Linked DNA regions of Saccharomyces cerevisiae S288C. The protein of the gene in region 2 binds, or shares a complex with, the protein of the main gene of each other region. Each region holds a gene or a part of one and is shown on either strand. Other genes may lie near its edges.

Region 1 (3,717 bases), on a different chromosome or scaffold from region 2:
AAATCTTCGAAGATTACTGTAATGGGGGATGATCATTCTGGAAAAACTTCTCTGGTTCGCAGTTGGCTAGGTAGTTCATTTCAAATATCAGATGCTAATCGTTATAGGGTTTCGGACCTCTACCACAAGACAATCCAATTTGATACTTTGGTAAAATACTATCGTACCTTTGGCGTAAAAGGACAGTTGCCGAATTATGCGGGTTTCAAAGCTAAAAACTCTGGCACAATTTATGAAAGTTGTGGCAATTTCCTAGAAGAGCGCCTGATCAATGCCAATAAATCGACTGCTCAAAGACGCACCAGTATTGATGTTCAAGTTTTTGATACCAATCAAATGGAGGTTTCGTACCTTTCGGAGCTAACTACTCTTCAAATTAGGCAGTCTGATGCAATTATATTATGTTTCGATTCTACTAATGACAGCTCTCTTGCCAGCTTAGAGTCTTATATTTGTATTATTCACCACGTACGTTTGGAATGTGAATTGGATATTCCAATTATTATAGCGTGTACGAAATGTGATCTTGATTCGGAAAGAACAATTACTCATGAAAAGGTTTTAACATTTATCCAAGAGCTGGGTTTCTCGCCAGGCAATTTAGACTATTTTGAGACATCCTCCAAGTTCAATGTAAATGTTGAAGATTTGTTCTTGGCAGTATTATTGAAAATTGAAAAATCTAAAAGTGATCGCAGGAAACTTTTGTAAGGGTTTATAATCAAGATGTATCCGCTGGAGAATTCGCCTCTCTTACGTGACAAAGAGAAGACCTGTGTTATTGAAACTGGAGGAGGAGGTAATACAAGCTTCGAAAGCCATTCAGTAACAACTACTCTAGATGAACCAAAAAAACCTACAACAAAAAAGGGTGAACAAACGCCAACGAAAACGTGCTTGGCTAAAAACGCTACCACTCGAAGGTCAAATGAAAGTCCGTCGAATGATGAAAAGAAAAAAATAAAAAAAGGCATAATAGCCTGCTGCTTAATGTGAAAATAAAAAACAAGAAGAACATGTATATATATGTACTTTATTAGAAAGTGAAAAGATCTGTTCATTGTGACAGCTATCTACTTATTATCTATTTTATAAATCCCATAAATTCTTTCCATATTACTTACGTCTATTATAACCTTCCGCGTAAAAAAGAAATATTGACATCCTTTCTTGTATTTAGCCCATACATTTTCACCCATGCACCATTGGATTATAAAGAAAAAAATTTAATAAAAATCTGCCGGGGAAATTTCAGAAGAAAAAAGGAAGGTGTGTTCGCATTTAACACGGGCCACCATAAACTTTTGTTTGCCACCCATCTAGACGGGATCCGCCCCGCCCAAGGCTCTCTTCCTCTAGCTAGGCAATGTGGCTCTCGGAAAGGAAACTCCCACCAGGACGTGGTGGGAAATGCAGCAATTCCCCTCTGCTTCCCGCTGACCTTTCTTGGGCCCAGTTTAGTAAGTATGCTCTCATCTTTCATGTGTGCTGTAACTTGCAAGTCATTAACACTATCTATAATTGATATTAGACGTTAAAAGTTCTATATAGCATTTGCTTTTATTTAGAGAATACGAAAACACACCAGATAATTAGTGCATATATATTAGATCAATATGGTATGTGAAAGAGATATTAAACATAAGATGTGAAGGAAACAGAAGAGAACAATATTTGAGGAATGAATTCGGATGAAATTCTAGTAGAAGAAAAAAGCCTAAAATAAAAAGAAAGAAAGGAAAATAAAGCAGTAATCAACCTCTGACATTTGATAGGAGTATGCGTTTCCGCAAAATCAACAAATCATGCATTAAACTGGTAACGGAGACTTTAAAGACGTGCAAAGAAAGCAATTAATTTTTAGATAGGGAATTGAAAGGCTCTGTATAGCAGAAAATTTGAGATCTACTGTGGAGATAAGCATATGGTGTTGAGTTATGGGTAATCTAACAATAATAGAAACTTATAGCAGTTGAAGATGGCGGATCATGATGCCGGATACTGCTGGGTAATGATTTATCCTTCTTTTTTTGGAGCACAAATGCTCACTTTTTCCTGTCTCCTCTAACTTTTCTGATGTATCCTACCCAACCCTACAGTTTTCAAATTACTAACATCAATTTTTTTGTGAAACGACTTTCGTTTTCGTTTCTATTTATTTCATTACAGGTTTTAGTTCAAGATTTGTTGCACCCAACTGCTGCTTCTGAAGCCAGAAAGCACAAGTTAAAGACTTTGGTTCAAGGCCCAAGATCCTACTTCTTGGATGTCAAATGCCCAGGTTGTTTGAACATCACCACTGTTTTTTCTCATGCTCAAACTGCTGTCACTTGTGAATCATGCTCTACTGTCTTATGTACTCCAACCGGTGGTAAGGCCAAATTATCTGAAGGTACTTCTTTCAGAAGAAAGTAAGTTAATTTATTTTTTTGTGTAGTTAAAATCATCTTCTTTTATCTAAATATATAAATATAAATTTACTTTTAATCAATTAAATTAACCTTTTAGAATCGGAAAGGATACGCTAAGGAGGCGATGTTGAAGTAGGTCGGCAGGTTCATTATATATTTAAATAATGAATTTTCCAATGATGTTTAAAAGGAGAGGAACATTCTTGACATTGTTAATCTTATGATCAAAGGCACAATCCGTAGGAGAGGAGGTTTTGTCATTTGAATTGTATCGTACAGTAAGTTTCTCTAGTATTCTTAGTAATGACCATAAAAGTGCAGATATAGTCCTCGACCCTGTAGCCACAGTTAGCTGCTGTGGTGTTAAACAAAGGCATTTCATCCGAGCGTAACCTCTTTGTAGGAGTTAAATGGAGTATCGTGATAGAGCCCAATACTATATCCACAATAGTGATAATGATAGTAACATTTGATACATCGAATACCCTAATAGTAATACCAGTCACATTTGGTTAGAAATCGCTGGTAACATTACTGATACCATTTTTTGGTATTAAAATCTATACTGTAAGTGCCAGAAGCATAAATGATGCACCTGGAATTACATGTATACATGTTATTGCAATGGTCATTATACCGGGCATAAATGTCACTGGAAATAGTGAAAGCTGCTGTTAGGAATAAGGTTTTAAAATAACTCAATAACCGAACCAGAATTTTCTTATTTTTTTCACTAAGGATAATTGTTTCTGTCTGAAATTATATAAAACACATGCGGATTAGTTCACCTTAAATACCACCAATACAATAGAAGATTGGGTAGTCACGATATATTTAATGTGACACCCATTTTACTCATATATATGACTTGCACTCTAATGTTCAACTAATAGGGCCTTACCTCAACTGAACTATTGTCTCCCTTGCCAGAACAACATTTCTGTCTTCTGCAAAAGGCACACCCATGCAAAAACATATACGAAATGAACATAAATATACGGTGTGCGTATTCACATTGTTAGCATAGCAACAAACGGTGTATTAATTGCAACGATATTAATCTTATAAAAAATTTTTAAAGTGTCGAATATTAATGATTATTAGTTCCAACAATAATAAAGTCAAAAAGCTAGTTACCTTCCTTCCAATATTTAATTTTGATCAACCTTATGGTATTCCTTATTTCTTTAATACCACTCATTCTGTTGTATCTCAAAATGAGATACGTCAGTATGACAATACGTCATCCTAAACGTTCATAAAACACATATGAAACAACCTTATAACAAAACGAACAACATGAGAC
Region 2 (4,401 bases):
CTCAGGCTACTGAAGGAGTGGTGTTAGGACAACGGAGAGATATAGTTTAGAGAATTATTATTAACACTTTCTCTGGCAGAAATTGATAAATAAACATTTAAGAACCCTATATACGCAACCAAAGTTCCTTTGATATATTTTAGTTTTCCATCAAAGTTTTCCTACATAAACACTAAGGTGGCTAGAGACGCGTAACAAAAGTTAACGTTACCGGTAAAAATGTGATTATACAAATCAATCTCACAGAACGGTGTGGAAACAAAGTAGTTGAAGGATTTCAACTATGCGAATCAACAGTGAGCTAGCGAACAAGTTTTCTGCCTCAACGGTGCACTTAGAACATATCACAACTGCTTTAAGTTGTTTAACACCTTTTGGTTCTAAAGACGATGTGCTTATATTCATTGATGCTGATGGGCTGTCATTTGTCAGGGAGAATAATCATGTGATAAAAATCCAACTACTGTTATCTCGGGAGCTATTTATGTCTTATTCGTATAGAAATGAAACTGAGGATCACATGAAACTTTGTGTAAAAATAAATCATATCTTAGATAGCGTTAGCGTGATGAACAGGAATTCGGATGACATTGTTGAGTGTACTTTATCTTATGATGGACATGGATCACCATTTGTACTAATATTTGAAGACTCGTTCATTTCTGAGAGAGTGGAGTACTCTACCTACTTAATTAAGGATTTTGATACTAATGGACTAGAACTCGATAGAGAAAGGATAAGCTTTGAGGCAATTATTAAGGGCGAAGCCCTTCATTCAGCCTTAAAGGATCTAAAAGAAATCGGATGCAAAGAGTGCTATGTATATGCAAAGACCGAGGCGAATGATGAGAATGTATTTGCCCTGATATCTAAATCTCAGCTAGGATTTTCTAAAATAAAATTACCCAGTAACAGATCCATACTAGAGAAGTTACAAGTATTTGACGGAGATTCCACAACAGTAATAGATGGTTTTGCTGTAATTGGGTTCTTCGATTTCACCTCGTTTGATAAAATCAGAAAGAGTACTAAAATTGCAAGCAAAGTCCTTTTCAGGATGGATGTTCATGGCGTATTGAGTGTAAATATTCTAAGTCAAACAGACGATGTCATTATCACTGATACTACAAGACCTTCAAATAATCGACCAGGTAGTATTCGCCAACTGCAGCTACCCAAGGATTATCCCGGTATAGTAATTGAGGTTTGCATGCTAGAAAAAGAATCCATAGATGAGGCAGCACAGACAGAAATAGAACTCCTGATGGAGACTAATGAACTTGGCAATCGTAATAGTTTTAAAAAATCAACTATAAGAAAAAGATATGGTACAGATAAAGGCAATGAAACTTCAAATGACAACTTGCTGCAATTGAATGGGAAAAAAATTAAACTACCATCTGAAGAAGAAAACAATAAAAACAGGGAAAGTGAGGATGAAGAGAATCACTGCAAGTATCCAACAAAGGATATTCCTATATTTTTTTAAGTCAATATCCAGCATCGCAGAAAACGCAGAACTTCATTCAGCATTTGGTAATTTTATAACATATAACTTACAATTAAATAAAAGTTTAACTATATATTATTATGTGATCTAACTCTAGAAAAAGTACTAATGAACATCACACCGTTTATTGTTGGGAGAAGTGTTCCATGATCATGGACAATTCATCAGTTTCAGCACCCCAGTTCTTGACAACAACAACGGAGGCACCGACAACCTTTCTGGCGTTACCTTCACGGTCGATCTTACCCAAACCAGCCCATTCACCTAATTGCTTAGCATCAGCAACCTTGATCAATGGAACCTTGTTTTCTGGGTCGTTAGCCAAACCTTCAACCAACTTGATAATGTTAGCTTCAGTAACAGAGCTGACCAAAACAACCAATAAAGCTTCACCTCTGGTTAAAGCCTTGGTAGATTCTCTCAAACCTCTAGCTAGACCATCGTGAACCAAAGCGGTTCTCAAAACAACCTTCAAAGCATCTTCGATAGTAACTTCGGCAGTTTGTTCAACAACAGTTTCTTCTTGAACTTCAACGACTTCTTCAACGTCAGACATTTTTCTTCTCAATAATATATAGTCTAGTTTTTGACTTCTTCGACAGTAAGATAATTAAACTGCTCCGTGAAGAGTTTTGAATTGGGAAAAACAATTGAACAAGGAACACTTATAGACCTGTTGTGATAAGAGATGACATAACTTTTATAATATGTCCTGCGGAGAATTCGATGAAATTTTGCAAATTGTAAGTTTGCTTGAAAGTTTGCTTGCGGGTAAGGTATTCTGAAAAAAATAAAATGATTCCACAATGGAAATGTGAAGATGTTGTAAACAAATCAAATGTACGGATGCACAATGGTAAACAGTACTGGATTTCTTTTTATATCACCGTTGAGCCGAAACAAACCCCGAAATAACCATTTAATATGCCAAGATGTACAAACCTCGTCTTTGCTTATTCAACTGCTACATTCGCAATACCTCAATAACGAGGTGCGTATATACATGAAGCAGAATTTTTTTTTACATATATATACTATTCATTAACTTGTAAGAAGACATTAATCACCGTTTCCTGAAGGGAAAAAAATACTAAATAGAATATGTCTTGCTCGTCATATCTCCATTTCACCTACAAATTCACCGGAACCTTCCATATTGACATCGTCGTCATCGTCTATGGCATTTTCAAATTGTTCCGCATTAGCAACGCCGCTAGCCTGTATTTCATCCTCATCTTCAAAATCTAAATCGAAGAAGTCATCATCACTGCCAACTATCTTTTCGTATAAAACTTTGGCTGCGGTGACTACTTCATCATACGATATCTCAGCAGAAGGCATGGTTGTATATATGACGCCATTATCACTCGCACCGGGAATATACTTTTTTTCCAAATCTTGATTTACATCAAAGAAGGAGGAGTTAACTACACCAAAGGGTGGCGTGGATGTGTATTGGGTATAATAAAGTTTAAATAAGAACTGTAATCTTTCCCTAGGAACATACTCCTTAAAAGATTGGCCTAACTTAACTGAATTTACTATTGTATGACCATTTCCCGTTAGTTGAACAATTTCTTCGTCGTTCTCTAAACCTGAAGACGATTCCCTTAGCAGGGCCATTTCCATAGCTTCTAGAGCGGCATCAATGTCCATTTCAGCACGTGGGCCTTGTTCTGTGGTCGATAAATACCATACAATAGTTCCTTCTGGACAAATTTCGCTGCCAGCACCGAGAATAAAGGCTTGTACTACTTCCTTATTACCAGATTTCAAAGAGCCAGGAGGGAAGACTACCATGGCGGCCGATTCACCCTCATTGAACCATTCAGTACAGGGGTTTTCAACTATACAGGTCAAACGATGAACCTGGTACTGTTGTTGAGGGACATGCTTACTGTCTTTAGGTGCTTGCGTAGGCGATATTATCACTTTCTCTGAAACTTCAACTTTGGATCCATCTTGGAATGTGGCCACTTTAGTTGTAGGGTTGAAGGATACCAATTTCTCATTGAGTTTGTAAGTAGCGCCACCTACAGCGGCAGATCTACAAAACCCTTGCGACAATTCTCCTGGCCCACCATACTTGGAGCATAGTGCAGGGAATGGTCCATAAACATCGAAACTAGTTAGATATCGACGAATCCTTTGTAAAGCTTCTGGTACTTTTACGTTGAGATCATAACATAACCCAATTGAGAAGATTAATTCGAAGACTTGTGGTTTTTCTAATTTAAACTTTTCCCCTAAAAAATCAGACATGGTCCTCTCCGCGTAGGGTTGCCATATTTCCGTTTGTGCTTCCCAGTTGAGTACGAATTTGATAAATTTCATTAAGTTCCTCTTTGTCATTAGTGGTAGGTTTTGATCCGTGAATATTTCTTGCTTTGTATTTGTTAGTTTTTCGAAACAATCATTTTCATAAGTATGGAAATTAGATAAAGATTGGAATTCTAAATACTGGTGAACTCTTGATTTGATTAAGATGGATAATAAATCAGATTTTGCAAATAGGATCTTCGGGGAAAGATCAATACCGAAATCTCTTGAAGAATATTTACCACTACCGATTAGCGTGGATACATACAACTTCGCATTTTTATAGCAACTTACTGAGCCTTCATTAACTTCATTTACCCATCTTTTGATTTGGTCTACAGTTAGTGTGGCTGAAGTGTCACCGTAATAATCATTCTTATCAATATGAAGGACATTGGAACCTTGCCAAGCTAATGCAGCAGCCAATACACTCTCTACCATACCAGTCCCTGCGATTAAAACATCAACTTTATCTGGTGTAGTGGCTGGCAAAGGGTCTTCAATACCGGCTAAATGCGGGACAACTAGAGGACTTGGATTTTGAGTAAAACTGAAAAATGATGGGCGGCGTT

Evidence for each region. Proteins that work in one complex are often made in the same cells at the same time.
Region 1: RPS12 (region 2) and RPS27B share a complex: the UniProt entries of both Saccharomyces cerevisiae proteins name them as parts of the small ribosomal subunit.

The regions. Positions count from the first base shown.
Region 1 is NC_001140.6:146,569-150,285, reverse strand, and holds RPS27B (40S ribosomal protein eS27 RPS27B), read left to right. Parts: upstream 1-1,616; coding exon 1,617-1,619; intron 1,620-2,169; coding exon 2,170-2,415; downstream 2,416-3,717. Other genes in the region: YHR022C (uncharacterized protein), read left to right, coding at 1-711; ECM12 (Ecm12p), read right to left, coding at 606-1,061. UniProt on the Saccharomyces cerevisiae protein: Component of the ribosome, a large ribonucleoprotein complex responsible for the synthesis of proteins in the cell.
Region 2 is NC_001147.6:1,026,560-1,030,960, forward strand, and holds RPS12 (40S ribosomal protein eS12 RPS12), read right to left. Parts: upstream 2,067-4,401; coding exon 1,635-2,066; downstream 1-1,634. Other genes in the region: SCP1 (Scp1p), read left to right, coding at 1-50; RAD17 (Rad17p), read left to right, coding at 284-1,489; GTPase-activating protein MRS6, read right to left, coding at 2,624-4,401. UniProt on the Saccharomyces cerevisiae protein: Component of the ribosome, a large ribonucleoprotein complex responsible for the synthesis of proteins in the cell.